Schizosaccharomyces pombe: one gene and its partner. The protein of the gene in region 1 interacts with the protein of each later gene in a biochemical or structural test. Each region holds a gene or a part of one and is shown on either strand. Other genes may lie near its edges.

Region 1 (4,259 bases):
ATCTATGAATCCTCTACTTTTGCTTTTACGTTGGCTAAGTTGGTGGCTACCCAATGTCATCGTCTTTGGCTTGTGCAGTCACCTTCCTGCCCTCCTTCCCCAAAAAATAACGCACATCTTTCCCCTGGATCCATGGGTGGTGTTAAGGTCAATCAATTGTTGGGCGTTGTTAGCTTAACTGATATCATATCTGTTTTATATGCTCACATGAAAGGCACTCTTCCACCCGCTCCCCATAGTGCTCCTTCGCTTAGACATGGACGTCGAGGAAGCACAAGCAGCCATCGTAGCCATAGCAAAGCTAGTGTAGATACACAACGTCGGTGATGCTAAATATTTGATGATTTGAAACACCCTTTTTTCTTTTTCTCATTTGAACCTCCGTTTTATTTCATCTTTTACTGTTACCTCTAACATTCCATATTTCATGAACGGGTTTTGATACTTATTTTTAATCATCTTTAAATGGATAAGATTTTGGTTAAATCTCCAATGATTTCTTATTAACCATTAAAAATATACTTTTACTTATGTTTTGACGTTAACTGACGGACGCTTTTCTTTATACATATGTTCTTATTAATGAATTGTCTCCCGTTGTTGATTTACACGGCAGCAGAGTAGCTCTTTCAGAGGGTTAACTTTTATATCAGAGTTATGATTGAAACTTTGCCTCTTGATATATATTATGTATCCATCTTAGCAGCACATTACTTTATTTTTTTGTCAAGAGTGTTTTCGGCGCTAGTTTTTGCTTTTTACAGCTTTGCCAACTTCCATAATGTTAAATACGTAACAGTTTACACAGAATCACAGAGGCGTAATCGAATTGTTTGTAGTGTACATTTTCTTTTATTTTCCAGAAGTAACAAAAAAAAATATGTTTTTTAAGTTTTGGGCCCTTTAAACAGTAAAATAACATGTTATGGGGAGATAGAATGGATGTTCATATAGTTCTGTATAAATTAATGAATTGTGACAGAACTACGATATTCAAAATTTCAGTAATGCAATAAAATAAACCATAATACTAAGCTATCCCGCCAAATAACTATCGAGAGGAAACGAAAGTGAATCTGCGATTTTTAATACATATTCGCGAGAGACATTGACAATGTATCTAGGGCTATCCAAAGAGCGAAGCACACCTTTGGAAGCCGAAAGTATCATTTTTAAGGAGGCGAGTGTAGCTATTTGAACAAAAACATCAGCGGTCAGAACTTTCTCTACCGGGGAAGAAATGGCATAATAAATAGCAATCAACCTTTCTACTTCAAAAGGTTTAGGTCCTAATGTAAGTTGGGATATTTTTACAGCAGACCGGCCTTTGCTCCCAGCGGTTCTTGGTATTTTGGAAAATAAAACCCCTTCATCTTGAATTTGTTTACGTTTTCTTCCACGTCGTTTCGAAGTTTTAGAAAATGAAAAAAATTGGGCGTCTAACCGGCTTGGATTATAAGATGCTAGGAATGCAGAAACGAGTAAATATTTGGAAACGAGCGACAAGTTAATAGATTTGGAATCAAGAAGATTTTTTATTTCAGTCGGGTTGATTATGTGAAGTCTTTTAGTAACCGTAGCATCTGACACTAAAAAGTTTTTAGCCAGCTTGTGAAGTTGAGCATAATCAGCAGGATGTATGTCTCCTTCAACTATAGGTTGAATGAACTTTGGCCAATATCTATCCAAAACACTACGAAAAGACCTATAGTCATTTAAGCACTGCACTCCAAAAACACTCCAAAGAAACGAGCAATATTGCATCCAGACGCTGAGCTCAATTTCGTCTTCAAAAACACTATCGCCAGATCTATCCAAAAAATCTAAATTAGGAGGTGTTTTTTGGCATATCTCTAATATTTCCGCTTGGGTATATTGTGGGAAAAAAATCACTGCAATAGACAATGTTCCCAAGTATTGAGCAGGGTGAGAATGAAGTACAAAAATGATTGACAGATTGGGAATGTTTGCCTAAAATAGTTAATCAGTGGGTCTGTAAATATTTACTTACAACAATCGGAAGCTGAGCTAATTGTGAGAATAGAATAGTAGAAGCCTCAGCGAAATCATCTATTTGATCCAGCACCTATAACTCATATTAGTATTTAAGAGTAATAAAATAGGAGAGGAACTAAGTACCAAAAATGTATGATAGTCCCTTTTGGACATTGCCTGTTCCAGTAAATAAATAAATCCACTGATATTAATGCCTTTTTTTAATGCTATATCTTTGTCAACACCGACTTTTATAAGGATCCGGTACCAGAAATGAGCGACTGTAAAACAGTCTTGCAAATTAATCCAAACATTTTCTTCTTTTGACAAATCAAAAGCGGTCCGCAATAAAAAAGTCTTTGCTGTACTAGCAACTCCGTAAAGCACAATGCTTGGAACACGACAATCCTTATTAAAAAGTAAACATGAAAGTTTCTTTATTTGATCTTCCCTGCAAAAGACATTCTTTTTTAATTCGTCTTCCAACTGATACAAATGCATTTCATGGCAATATGCTTATGCTTTGGCATATGGTGTCGTGCAGTGAAACATTCATCGCTCGAAGCAAAAACTAGTGGACTAATTTATACAAATAAACGAAAGGTAATTAATGGAAAACGAAGAATAATATTCGTACATTTCAAATACAATTTAAACTTTGGAATTATTGAAATCTTAATTGATTGTTTACTATAAGCGTTGTACTTGGTTCAAGGTGTATTTTATTGAGAAGCCTTGTCGTAACAAAATGTGCTTAAACAGTTATTCTAAAATAGAATTATAAAATTTTATTTTTTGTAATATATTTGATTAATAGTAGTAAAGAACAGAAGTTCGTTTCGCTTGAGTTATTAGAAGTTTTCTTTCTCCTAGCTAATTCACTTTCAATACTAACTTCTTCACCGCTAATGCATAGCCAAAATTATTTTTGAATAAATGGCCTAGTGCGGAGTACGTAGAATTAAATATTGCTTAGATTTAATTTGTAATCTAGCCGTTAACTGTTTTAAGTATGTTATTAAAAAAATCAAAATGCATTTTTTAGTAATTGATATGAACTCATCATAATATCCGAATTTCAGTGTATTACATCTTTTCCTTTGTCTGAATTTAACACAGCATTCTTTAGTTGTGAAATTTAAAGTCTTATTTAAACCTTACATATCTGCACCGCAGATTTCAGATACTGATTGACTCATGTATGGATAACGTTGCTAATCTTCGTAGCATGCAATGTTGAAGCTTTTGCTTTATTTTCGATAAAAGTGTACTGAGTTTTATAGAAGAATGAAGACTAATCATCAAAGCAACAAAAGACGTAGTAGATAAATGAAATACTAACAATACTGAAATCAAGAGAGAGAAAAACACCGAGTTAAATAAATAAGAAAAGGATTTCTATAGGTTCTGGTCATCAAGGCTTCCTTAATAGTTTCTAACTGAATGAAAGGTTAGTAGCAGTAAAAATATCAATATCATACCAGAGGATATATAATTTTCGAGACTTTTTTGTCTTTCCTCAACTGAAAGAAGTAGATATTTACCAAAAACGGGTATTGAATTAACCCAGCTTAGGGAACGATTTATCCAGTGTCTAAATTAGTTAGTGAGTTGAAAAACGACATTTTGTTATAAAAACCTTTCAAATAAATTACATACTTGGTAAACTCATCATAAAATCGTCCTTGAGTAAACGCCCAAACCACAAAATGCTGAAACTGACTTTGATTTGTCCGGCGTTCTAGTCCAAACCCCTGGCGACTAGAAGTCGCTGATTCACATCTTCGATCAATTAATTGAGAAATAACTTCAAAAACAAACGCTACAATCCAAGGCCCCCAAGGTCGAACTTTAAGAGAACTCGATTTTTGCTTTCTTTTCCAATGCCACATAAACAACATATAGATAAGCGGACGACAAACTTTAATAAAATTAGAAAAAATCCGTAGATTGGGAAGTCTTTTTGTAAAAATCTCATCTGGTAGAATTGAAGAAAGACGTGGAGTTCGGTTTTGCAAGAAGTCAAGCGATGAATTGACTGTATTAAGTCTGGGAACAACTTTCTTGGAGTTTTTTAACACAACAGCACTTCCTGAATTAGAGTATTTCTTGTGAAGATGAATGAAAGTCTTTACATTGAAATCGCGCTGCAATACAGGATTAGAGAGCGGAAGATCACCTCCAGTAGTCCACATAATGTGAACCCGAAGTAAAAATCTAATATTTGTTAACAATTTTAATCGAAAAGTAGATTTCCGTACTTG
Region 2 (4,964 bases), on another chromosome or scaffold:
GCCGTTCCCGCGATTAATGATACTTTGCTTTTTTTGCGCAAATATCCTATTAGACCACCTACGGTCAAGAGAAAACTTAAAACTAAAGCGTTTTGATCAGGTGTCATTGTATACTTTTGAAAATTTGAAGGTGTCTAGCAGCTTGTTTGTAGTCGAAAACAGACTTCGTATGCGCACATACTCAACAGTGTAACTTAGGGCGCTATCCATGTTCGTTCATTCGTGAGAAACGTCACAATATAAGTAGCAATAAATCTGGGGCTAAAATAAATATCATTGCCATTGAGACAAATTCCCAAAATTTATATTATGTAATTCATTATGTATCGTTATAGAAGAACAATACAGGTGTGGGATAAAAAAACAAAATAAAGTAAGTTTTTATGAGTTGATCTTTTTCTTTATAATGCGAATTATTTGCGAAATACTGAATCCGAAGTTGCTAACCGCCAGTTTATATATCACAATACTACGATTAATGGTTTATAGGCTGGTCTACGAGCAATATGGAACACAACAAATTATCTTTGATCTGACGACTTCTTAGCTAGAATAGAATATTTGTAATAAATATGATAAGCACCGAAATCTGACAGATTATCAGATTCCAATTTTCGAGCGTGCTATTGTTTCTATCGGTATAGGTAGCCAACAGAGAAAGAACATATTTTCAATTTAATCAAAAGACAAAGTGCTCAAAATGAGATATACATTTAATTGTTTACAAAAAGTAGGCTTCTTGGGAGAACCTAAAAGACTTGAATACAGAGAAAAAAGTGAGTTGCTAGCATTTTTAAGTAGCAAGGTTATACACAATTTATATTTCGCACCTTACTGATGATAAATAGTTTTCATGACATGATCAGTTTTGCGAGCGGTAGGTTTGATAAGCCCTAAAAACCTCAATTCTTCTAAACCAAACAAAAATCGAGATTGTAGCTTTGCTTCTTCGAGTTTTCTTTTATCCTCATCTAGTTCATTCAATTCTCTTTGCAGATTCCCCTGAGGTGATTCTCGTGGATGGTTATCATCCTCTTTCAAGTTTTCTTTTCCAGCTTGCAGATGCTCTGAAAATGCTATGTACCAATCGTACAAATTAAGCAATGCACCAGATTCACTATATAACTTATAAAGGATAGATAAATCTGGAAGCCAGGATATCAAATCTTTTCCATCTTTTTCAGCGTTAGAAAACTCGCTGTCAATTTTCTTTTCATCTCCTACATAATACTCTGGATCCATGCACGAACTATGAATCACACTTCTTTGATGTCCTGAAGCAAATGCTTGATTCAACGGTCGACAGTAATCATAAAATAGCACTTCGTAAAAGGGATACATATCAATAGATTCAGTACCCAAGCATCCATATTGAACTTCTTCGTCCAATAATCCTACAATTTTCTTCAAAATTTTAGAAAAGTCAATTATGCTTTTATCAAAGCCAGATTCAACAACTTTTCTTGTATGCTTTGTTCCACTATAGTTTTGCATTCGAACCTCGACGGGCTCTAAGTAATTAGTTGAAGAGTTGCGAATGAGTTCAGAAAGCTCCTGGTGAATTTCTAAGCACTTCATAGTTTGATTTCCAGTAAATATGTTTTCATTTAAATAATCCAGACAAGCCAAGGCTTTGGTAGAATTCATTCTTAAAATTGCCTGACATATACTTTTGTACTGAGGACTTGATAGCCAGTCCCCTTGCAAAAATGTCTCTAAATAATCAGCAAATGAAATTCTAGTCGTTGTTTTCACAGCCATTTCTAATTCGTGCCAAATTTTAGCTTGGGTGCGCAGTAAACGCTCCCGATATAATAAATTCTCGCACATTTGAATGACCATCTCTTGAAAGTAGGTATCATCATTCAACATTTTCTCGACATAGTTAATGCTTTCCAAATCTCCAATTTCCAGACGCTGTTCAATGTGCCGCTGAAAACTAGGAACTGTTCTTAGAGTGGTTAAATGAAGAGGGGATATTAAATGAAAGTCTTTTTGATATATCAAATGCTCTATAATACTCAAAGCGTTTCCATAAAAGTGAGTTAGAATACTATAGCGAATGCATTCAATAACTCTCTCAACACTCCATGAACGCTCGTAAAACATCGAGCGAAAAAATCTCCGAGTCCGCCAGCCAAATTTTAAACTCAAACTCTCCTCAATCGAGGTAAAGAGGCTTTCAAGAATTTCCGTGCTTGCCTTCATGTTAAAAACCTTGGTTTTAACATTGCTAAGGAATTTTGAATCGAGGGATGTATCAAACATTTCAAGCGGTATTTTTAAATTAAAAATTGTGTATAAGCATCCTTGTAACTTTGAATGTCGGACGAGTGAGCTAAGTGCTTCCACAAGAGAAGATAAAAGACGCCGATCACAATCTTCTACATCTTCCAATACCAACACGGTCTTTTCATCAAGTTTTTCAATGTCATACGAAAGGACACCTAGTCCAAATGATCCACCTTTTATTACTCGAAAACATGATTTCAAATCACGATGAGCTTTCAGATTTAACACAACAAAGTTTTTCCACCCAATTTTTTCCATATCGTCTTTAAGTTGCTCGTAAAACTTTAGGTGCATCGAGTTGCTACTCTTATCACAAACGATTGCAGTTCGAAGTAACCCAGTTTCATCTACTGGCTCTGATGCATGTTCACACAATTGTCTCAAAACTCTGGCGTTACTATCATATGTAGTGTGAGTTGTAATTTCTTCTAACTCATTTAACACTTTCGTACAGAGATTTTCTCTTAATTTTACGTATTCTATAGGTTCTTTACCTCCTATCAAAGGAACAAAAAGGCCTTCACTAAACTCATTTCCCAGGCTCTCTGTTGGCTTGGGTTTCACTGAATAAGTTCCCTAAACAATTTAGTTAGATAAAATACTGAAAAAATTCCACTTACTTTACTGACTGAATCATATTGTAGTATTGCTGACATATTAATTTGATATTGTAGAGAAAAAGCCAGATGACTAGCAAATTTAGTATTTGAGTTTACTCTGTTTGCGTGTCACAAATTATTAGCATTATTTCATTTAATTAGGTCTTAATTTGAATCATTAACAAGTGGTTGTCACAAGAGCACCGTTCTGAAAATGGGTACCTTAGAAAGCGTAGTAAGTGCAGAAAGCACTTTGCTAGTTTGTTTTGATGCTTCGAGTTAATAGAATGAGTCGACAGACGTTTGTAGGACTAAAAAAGAATACGAATATACACATATATTTTCATACATCGAAGAATTATTTGATTTGTTGGTATAAGTCTTTTTTTTATTTTCATTAATCATGAGTCAAAGTTTAAGGAATTTTATAAAATATCATTTTTTAAATAAAATAAAAATTTTGGTTGAGTTCACGCCTCATTAATTGTCATCATTTCCTCCTACCGATAAGTCATCTTCGGATTCTGATTCAATTCCTTGAATTTCATGCAGACTTTCAACATTCACATTGAAGCCTTCCTCTGTGAACTGTTCAACAGTTTGTTCGATCTTAGCTAAGGAAGAAGTGATAACAGCTAAGTTATTGCTGGATGAGAAGAACGGTAAACAATAAATTTTTAAACCCTCTAAAAATTGTTGTAATGTGACCTGCTTTACTTTTTCTAAAAATTTATGATCTTCATCTTTGTTTAGACCTTTGATAGATAACAAAGTAAACGAGTTTTTTGATGAGTAAATTGCGTTGTTTTCAAGCTCCGATACTATGCTATAAGATACACATTTGGCAGATTCCAAATCAAAACTACTAACTTGCACCTCACCAGATATTAGCGATTTTACAAGATCGCGACTTGAAGCCCATGCTTTATAGACATCAGGGGAGGTGTTAATACAATAATAAAGCACACCACCATCCACATCAATTGACATATTAAATCCGTAAGCAAGGCCAGAACCACGAATGGTATTCCAAAAAGGGCCATCCATCAACCCTAGATAATTTGCAATCAAGACGATAACTGGAAGTGACGGATCAAGCCAGCTGGTAATACCTGGAATAGAAAATACCAAATCACTACTCTCGTTTGACGGCATCGGAATAACGGTAAGGGAACTGCTACTTCCAAATTCTTGAGGCTTTAAATAGTTCTTAGAGAAAGTCGAAAGAAACTCCATATTTGGATTCCGGTGGCATTCGCTATCAAGTAACTTATTCCATGTACTTATTGGCTGAGGTAATTTTAAAATGTCACCAATTACATGAATACGAATGGCTTGATGCTGTAACATGTAATTTCTCATTTTTTGAAAGGCATCAAAAATTGATGAATGATCATTCTGTAACTTATCCCGTAATTCGCGAAGAATTTTCTCTTGACTTAAGGTATTTAGGCTGTACTTCAATGAGCAATCATTGTATAGACGGATATCGAAATATGATGGTAATATAAATTCTGCGTCACGTTTTTGAAAAGGAATGTCGGCCAGTTGCTGATTTATTACTGATAACATTCTTTCTCTATCCCATACCGTTTTGGCTAATAAATTTCGTATCCAATAAACTCCTTTTTCGTAATTTTCACGAGTGACCTTTATTTCTATAGAAAGCAGTTCACGTTTAGTTTCATAATAAGCGTAACCACAAGATGATGTGTCAAAACTAAGCGAAACATTGAGTGATACAGTGTCACGCTCAAGTTGCTTGACGACTTCGTGATAGGGTGTAGGTATGGTACCTGAGAGCAAGGCCGGAGCAGCTTCTATATATTTAGCAAATACAGAAAGATATGGTTTCAAACTTGAAGGAATCATAGAGGTGTCGATATACGTTGCAAGTTGGACAAAGGAACTATCAATATGATCGAACTGGATGAAAGGGTTTTCTGAAGAAACATCAGTGTCTATATAAGTTTGGACTTCATTGTCAAAAGGTTGACCTGCGGAACGAGTCCTAGCAGTCGTAGATGAGTAAAACCGAATACTCTCTGGATCACTTATCCTGAAGCTTGAAAT

Evidence for each region. The genes of interacting proteins can lie anywhere in the genome.
Region 2: the proteins of orc5 (region 1) and orc3 form a complex in vitro, tested with the Schizosaccharomyces pombe proteins (3 studies listed by BioGRID).

What each region holds. Positions count from the first base shown.
Region 1 is NC_003423.3:951,781-956,039, forward strand, and holds orc5 (origin recognition complex subunit Orc5), read right to left. Parts: upstream 2,538-4,259; 5' UTR 2,497-2,537; coding exon 2,140-2,496; exon of another isoform or gene 2,087-2,139; coding exon 2,012-2,086; exon of another isoform or gene 1,972-2,011; coding exon 1,036-1,971; 3' UTR 554-1,035; downstream 1-553. Other genes in the region: protein sds23, read left to right, coding at 1-327; Pex16 family peroxisome import protein, read right to left, coding at 3,421-3,434, 3,477-3,589, 3,655-4,212, 4,257-4,259. UniProt on the Schizosaccharomyces pombe protein: Component of the origin recognition complex (ORC) that binds origins of replication. It has a role in both chromosomal replication and mating type transcriptional silencing.
Region 2 is NC_003424.3:1,928,217-1,933,180, forward strand, and holds orc3 (origin recognition complex subunit Orp3), read right to left. Parts: upstream 3,088-4,964; 5' UTR 2,949-3,087; coding exon 2,913-2,948; exon of another isoform or gene 2,869-2,912; coding exon 832-2,868; 3' UTR 555-831; downstream 1-554. Other genes in the region: SPOM_SPAP14E8.05C (uncharacterized protein), read right to left, coding at 1-107; sdd3 (metallopeptidase), read right to left, coding at 3,372-4,964.